2 linked regions of the Caenorhabditis elegans genome follow. The protein of the gene in region 1 interacts with the protein of each later gene in a pairwise test. Each region holds a gene or a part of one and is shown in the gene's direction. Other genes may lie near its edges.

Region 1 (3,927 bases):
ACCACCGAATTTCATAATGAGACTTCCCAAAAAATTTCCGAAAATGTTTTATGGTCCGCCAAAATTTCGAAAAAAAAAGAGTCAAATCTTGCTAAAATCTGAAATTTTGCACACTTTTCTTAGTCACAGCCGCTGGATTTTAGTCTTTCTGAAATTATCACCATTTAATCCTTATTTTGATAATTTATCCTGCGGAATTTTGTTGATTGAGACAACTTTTAGACCAATAGGCATCCAAAAATGATCAAAATTGGATGCCTATCGGCCTAAAAGTTGTCTCAATCAACGAATGAGATAAATTACCAAAACAAGGATTAAAAGGTGATAATTTCAGAAAAACCAAAGTTCAGTGGCTGTGACTAAGAAAAGTGTGCAAAATTTCAGATTTTATCAAAATTTGACTCTTTTTTTTTCGAAATTTTGACCGGCTATAAAAAATTTTTGGAAATTTTTTGTGAAGTCTCATTATGAAATTCGGTGGTTTTGGACCAGTTTTAGTCTATTTAAGCAAAATACTTACAAACTCTACTCCCCCTTTAATATATTTCACGACATACATACGTGAATAACTTCTTTAGTGTTGCTCTTTAATTATGTAGTATACTTAAATGCATTTTATTAAAAATCGTCAGTATTTAACAGTATTGAATTGTTCATACTAATAAAATCAGACAATGTTTGACGCAAATAAAATGAAGCAATACATGTTTTTTACTTTGTCAATTAGTTAGTTAGTTATGAACATTGTAACTATACAGTTTACAAGCAAACGGGTTAATTTTTCGTGAAAGTAATTATTTTCAATAACGTTATTAAAATTATATATTACTAACTTTTATATGGGAATCATCCTAACCAAGAAAACTGTTTAAAAAATTGTAAAAACCCTAATTATAATTCATAAAGTTATTAAAATATACATCGATCGAAATATAGTAACCACCACCATTTCTAGAATGCATTACCAAAAATTATGTGCAAAATAGTAATGTTTTATGAGACTTCCAACAAAAAAAAATTGAATCACCGAATCATGTTTTTGCTACAAAACATTGTAGTTGCTTTTTGAATTTTTCGTTCTGCTTCATATTTTTTTCCAGACATCATTGATATAACCCTTTTTATCTGCAAAAACTCATCAAAGCACCTTCTTTATGGTTTCTGATCACCCCTCCATAGATACACCGAGATCCTTATCATCGGTACGACCTCGACCGTTGGCTAGTTTTTTGCAGTTCGATAATGACCTCAATATCTTGATCTGTTTCTTCTTTTCTCCATCATTCGTCATACCTTTCACTTTTAGAGGTGGTTTTTTATACAGCTTTTCTAATACAAAGGATAGTGATATTAAAAAATTCTAGTTTTAGATTATTAACAACGGGATTGCATAGAAAAAGTTTCTTTTTCGACATTTTTTCGTAAAACGGGCATTAAATGAATAACACAACAATTATATAGTTCTGTTATAAAACAACAAGTAGTATGTTTTATAACAGAACTTTATAATCGTTGTGTTTTTATAACAGCAATGGCTTTTAAACGCTGGAAAAAAAAGGTCACAACAGTTCATTTTCAAGCTTAGTCTTAGTCTTAGTCTTAGGCTTAGGCTTAGCCTTAGCCTTAGTTTTAGGCCCGGGTTCAGGCTTAGCCTTAGGCTTAGGCTTTGGCTTAGTCTTAGGCTTAGTCTTAGGATTAGTCTTAGGCTTAGGCTTAGGCATAGGTGGGGCTGGGGGATTATTTTAATTTTTTTTTTTGAAAATTATCAGAAATTTTTTACATTCAATTAAACAAATTGTAGTGAATATTTTGAGTTGTGTAAAAATGATATTTTTCACAACAGTAATAATATTTAAATTATACATATAAACCACATTAATAACGTTTTTTTTAAGTATCTGATCACTTTTTTTTGCATGCTAAACTTATATTTTCTGTTTAGTATAAAACTCCATCCAATTCCCCGTTGTTCCAGATGAGATCCCTTCTCCTCTTGGCACTTGTGAGTGCGTCGGCGTACGCGAGTTTCGACAAGATCAAGGATTCTATTCAAAACCCATTGGCACGTGGATTTGGTGACGATATTGCGTGGGTCAAGTGGGAAGATGCAATTGAGACTGCTTTGGATACTGATAAGCCAATCTTCTTGTTGATCCACAAGTCTTGGTGCCATGCTTGCAAAGGTAAGAGCGGCAGTTGAGAAAATTTAGGCAATTTCTTATAATACGTGTGGTATCACACTGTCCCATCACGGTTTGATCTACAAAAAATGCGGGAATTTTTTGCTCTAAAAATGCGACGTCAGCAGGTTCTTAATCATGCGAAATCATTTGAGAACTCTGCGACTCTTCTCCCGCATTTTTTGTAGATCTAGGTAGATCAAGCCGAAGTGAGACACCCTGACACCGCGTGATTGATTACATGCTTCACTAATAATTTGAAATTTAATCATTTTATTCAACAAGTTAGTCCAATAGAGCGCACATTCACATGTCCCTTCCCCACTGCAGCTTCGATTTTCTCTCCGGGTAACCGACCAAAGACAAGAAAGGAGAGGGATTTATTCATCCTTGACACACTTTTTTTTATTAATTCAAAGAATGGTGTCAGAACACCTTGTAAACCACAAAGCTTGTACATATAGTTTTCAAGGGAAAAATCGGGAAATTCAATTGATATTTTTCGAAAATTGCAAAAAAAAACGTGCAAAATTTTGAATTAAGAAAAATGCACATTTGTACAAATTTTGGGAAATTCAAAAATTTTCACGTGATGGGACCCGTGTGTGGGCGAACCACAGTTTAAATTTGATGTAAAATAATATTTATAATTTTTATGACTCAACATTTGAAACTTTAAACATAATTGTATTCGTTTAAAAATTTGTGAAAAAATTGAAAATTGGTTTTAAAAAATTTGAAGTTTAAATATTTCAAGTCCAGAAAATCCAATGCGAGAAAAAACCTCAAAATTTTTTTAAAAATTCCAAAAATTATATAAAAAATTATTTTAAAGCTTTCAAAAATTCAATAAAAATTCCAAACAAATTCCACTAATCTGAAAAAAGGATAAAATCTATTGGGGTCCTAAGCCTAAGTTTGAGCCTAAGTCTAAGTGTAAGGCTACGACTAAGCCTAAGCCCAAGCTGTAGCTTACGTCTAAGCCTAATTTTTAAATGTTTCAATTTCGAATTTTCAAATTTTCCAGCTCTCAAGAAGACCTTCCAACAATCCAACGCCAAGAAAGCCTTCAAAAAGCTCTCAGAGCACTTTGTAATGGTTAACACCGAAGACGACGACGAGCCATTCGAGGAGGAGTACCGTCCAGACGGAAAGTACATTCCACGTCTGCTTTTCCTCGACAAAAATGGAGATCTTCTTCAAGAATTCAAAAATAAGAAGGCCGAATACAAAAATTACGCGTATTACTACTCATCACCAGCTGATATCCTTAACTCTATGAAGGATGTGCTTAAACATTTTGGAGTTGACATTCCAGAGGCTAAGAGAGGTGATAAGCTTAAGCCAAAGAAGCCAGAGGGAAAGAAGAAGGAATTGTAAGAATAGAGATTGTTTTATTGATTTATTGATTGATTTTCAGCTAATTTATTTCTTATCATTTCTTTGCCAATCTTGTTAACTATTATTAATTATTATCACGAATAAACTGGTTCTCGATACGTCGGTTTTTACGAAAAATTTAAATTCGCGCCAAAAACCTTTTCGAAACCTCGAAAAAATTTTAAAAATCTTATGAAAATTGCATTTTGTGCCTGAAAATTTTTAGCCAATTTTTTAGAAAAAAAAAAAGTTTTAGGAAAATCTGTGACATTTTGAAAAATTCAGGAAAGTTTGAAATTCCAGCCAAAAAACTTTTGAAAACTAATTTTTTGAAAAAACTAATTTTTTGAAATTTTTGAATTTTGCA
Region 2 (3,916 bases), on another chromosome or scaffold:
TCCGGAAAGTCATGTTTTGTCGGTTGCAACTGATTTGGCAGCTGAAAAAGGTCAAGATGAACTAGTTAATTCTACAATTCAAAAATTCGGGCGCCTTGATATTCTGGTCAACAATGCCGGAGCAGCTTTCAACGACGATCAAGGACGTGTTGGAGTTGATCAAGATGTCTCAGTTTACGATAAAATTATGCAGATTAACATGAGAAGTGTGGTTACTTTGACTCAAAAAGCCAAGGAGCATTTGGTTAAGGCTAAGGGAGAAATTGTCAATGTCTCGAGTATAGCTGGAACAGCTCATGCGGTAAGCTAGGTTAAAGCATATTATGACCTCCGGTAGTTTTTGCTCTGGTAAGACTTAATGATCTAGGAAAAATTAGATTTCGGGGAATTTTATTACTCGCCGCTGACTTAATTTTAGAGTAGTTTGATCAATCGAAAATCAGTTTTGCAAATCGAATTATTGCCTGGTAGCCTAGTAGGAGTGAGCGGCAATCGGCGATCGGCGATCGGCGATTTCTGTAATTTTTCGGCCTGTTGCTCAGCCCTGCTGGTAGCCTGGATTCCCGTCCCCAAATATGAGTATTAAAATTTGCATGTTTCCAGCAACCCGGAGTTATGTACTACGCAATGTCAAAGTCGGCTCTCGATCAATTCACCAGGTGTGCAGCCATCGATCTTATTCAGTACGGGGTACGCGTGAACTCGGTGAGCCCGGGAGGTGTCACTACCGGGTTTGGAGAAGCTATGGGTATGCCGAGTGGGGCGTTTGAGGAGGTGAACATAAGACACAAATTCCTAGAATTTTTCGAGTTTTCAGATGATGAAGTTTATGGAGTCCCGCAAGGAGTGCATCCCTTCTGGAGCTGTAGCTAAACCAATCGATATTGCCAATATTATTGCGTTCTTGGCTGATCGTAAGCTTTCTTCCTATATTATTGGGCAGTCGATAGTAGCTGATGGAGGATCTACACTGGTCTTGGGAATGAATGCTCACAACTGGGCGGATCTTATGAAGCAATCTTAAATTTTGTTGGATTTAGTGGTGAATAAATATTGGAACTAGTGATTTTGTTGTACAAAACAGGGATGGACGGCAAGCTATGTTTTCCGGCAAATTGGCAAATCGGTAAATTGGTAAATTGGGAGAATTGATATTCCGGCAAAAATTCAAATTGTCAGAATTGAAATTTTCGGTGAAACGGCACACTGCGGGAATTAAAACTTCCGGCAATCAGGCAAGTCGTCAAGCTGCCGGAATTGAAATTTCCGGCAAATATTCAAATTGCCGGAATTGAAAATATCCGGAAAAATGGCAAACCGGCAAATTGCCGGAATATAAACTTCCGGCAATCAGGCAAATCGTCAAACTGCCGGAATTTAAATTTCTGACAAATCAGCAAATCGATAAATTGCCGGAATTTAAAATATTCGGAAAATCGGCAAACCGGAAAATATTCGATTTGCTGAATTCGCCGGGAAACGGCAATTGCTAAAAATTGTCGGCAAATTGTGGTTTTGCAAATTTTTTTTTGAAATTTTAGAATTTCAATTTCAATCGGCAATATCCTGTGAATGTTCCTACATACAATTTAAAAATTAAGCAAATTCTATGAAAATTTCTAAAGAAAACGGGGAAAAAAATTTAAAAAGGCACAGTTTTAAGTGTTTCCGTCTTATAAAAAATCCCTCTAAAAACGGTAAATCGGCATTTTACCAATAGTCAAAATTTCCGGCAAACCGGCAAATCGAAAAATTGCCGGAAATTAAAATTTCTGGCAAATCGGCGAATCGGAAAATTGCCGGAAATTTAAATTTCTTTAAAATCGGTAAGCCGAGCGGTAGAGGGCTACATCGGGCATGTAATGTAATCGTGCAGAATAACATCGGTCAAAAAATTGGTTCGAACCACCAAAAAAGGAATTTCCATTTTTGTGGTATCAAAAGTCTAGTCATTATTTATTGACATAATATTTTTATTTTCTTATCAATATAAGCTGCCACAGTTTGCTTAAAGCACATCACAGACCACATTTCAACAAAAAAATCACGCAATAAAAGCATTGATTATCAGTATCAATATTTAATTTCTACACTACTGCTATGACTCGATTCTCTGGCAAAGTTGCTCTTGTGACAGGTATTTTTTTCAAATTTATTTTTCTTCATTTTTATAATGAATCATTGAAGGCTCCTCAAACGGAATAGGTAGAGCCACTGCTGTACTTCTGGCTCAGGAAGGAGCAAAAGTTACGATTACTGGAAGAAATGCTGATAGGCTTGAAGAAACTAGACAGGAAATTTTGAAGTCAGGAGTTCCGGAAGATCATGTTTTGTCGATTGCAACTGATTTGGCGACTGAAAAAGGTCAAGATGAACTAGTTAACTCTACAATTCAAAAATTCGGGCGCCTTGATATTCTAGTCAACAATGCCGGAGCGGCTTTTAATGACGATCAAGGACGTGTTGGAGTTGATCAAGATGTCTCAGTTTACGATAGAATTATGCAAATTAACATGAGAAGTGTGGTTACTTTGACTCAAAAAGCCAAGGAGCATTTGGTTAAGGCTAAGGGAGAAGTTGTAAATGTTTCGAGCATCGGAGCAGGACCACAGGCTGTTAGTTCCTTTTCTCTTCACTTTTTTACCCACTTCTGTATTTTAGCAACCAACTTTCATGTATTATGCAATGTCAAAAGCCGCATTGGATCAATATACCAGAAGTGCTGCCATCGATCTTATTCAGTACGGGGTTAGAGTCAACTCGGTGAGCCCTGGAGCTGTAGTGACAGGTTTCGGAGAAGCAATGGGAATGCCTGCTGATATGCATGAGAAGGTGAGAAGCCTCATAGTAGGCAGGCACTTTTGCAGATCTGCCTACTTAAAATACAAATCCTTGACACGTCATTTTACCAAAATTTAGTTGTAGGAAAATCTGATTTTTTACCACTTGTTCAAAAATATTTTGAACAATCTTTTTAAATCTTTTTAAATCTTTTTAAGCAGGAAGGTAGGTAGGTGAAGCCCAGGGTAGGTTTTACAAGCTCTTAAAATTATTCAATTTTCCATTTTTCAGTATGGACATTTCATGGAATCTCGCAAAGAATGTATTCCTTGCGGAAAAATGGGGCAACCCATCGACATTGCCAATATAATTGCGTTCTTGGCTGATCGAAAACTCTCTTCATACATTATTGGACAGTCGATTGTGGCAGATGGAGGTTCGACTTTGGTAATGGGAATGCAGGCACACAATTTTATGGATCTTTTGAAACAATAATTTTTGTATACATTTTTTTAAAAGTAAATTGTTTTATTAAAGTTTTTAACAGGCAACTAAAAAAATTTCCGTTTGAGTTAACTTTGACGGATATAATCCACAAACATGAGCCTAGAGTAAAACCTGAAGTGAAATTAAAAAATAAAAATAATTCCTATGATTTTCCCGTATTTTTTCAGTTTTGGAAAAAATAGCTTTTGGTCAAATACTGCAATTTTCTCTAACAACCTTCCGTACAAGGTAGCCTACTTTGTTTAACATTTTCTGGTATAAATTACTATTGACAGATCCATTTTTAAAAACATGCTTTATTGGATGCCACTGAATCTGAAAAAAATATATAAATTTTAATTATTACGCTTAGGCGGTATATATATTATAGGCTTATCCTTAGGCTTAGGCGGGGCTGGGGGTGGATAAAAATTGAGACTCTCCAGCGAGAAATTGGAGTTTTGAACCTGAAAAAAATCTTGAAATATGAGAACTTTTCGGTTAGACAAAAATCTAGCTCGAAATATTTCACTCTGTTTTTGAAATTCTTATCTATTTTTCTTCAGTTTTCCTGTAGAATGAAAAACAATTTTTCAAAAAAAAACATATCTATTCTCATTGAACAACTTCACAATTTCCAATGGAAAAT

The links.
Region 2: the proteins of txdc-12.1 (region 1) and dhs-14 interact in a two-hybrid assay, tested with the Caenorhabditis elegans proteins (one large-scale study listed by BioGRID).

Annotation. Positions count from the first base shown.
Region 1 is NC_003280.10:12,238,413-12,242,339, forward strand, and holds txdc-12.1 (Thioredoxin domain-containing protein), read left to right. Parts: upstream 1-1,975; coding exon 1,976-2,183; intron 2,184-3,207; coding exon 3,208-3,560; 3' UTR 3,561-3,673; downstream 3,674-3,927.
Region 2 is NC_003283.11:2,763,379-2,767,294, reverse strand, and holds dhs-14 (DeHydrogenases, Short chain), read left to right. Parts: upstream 1-2,094; 5' UTR 2,095-2,100; coding exon 2,101-2,137; intron 2,138-2,187; coding exon 2,188-2,615; intron 2,616-2,661; coding exon 2,662-2,832; intron 2,833-3,072; coding exon 3,073-3,276; 3' UTR 3,277-3,314; downstream 3,315-3,916. Other genes in the region: cror-2 (DeHydrogenases, Short chain), read left to right, coding at 1-301, 604-774, 818-1,024.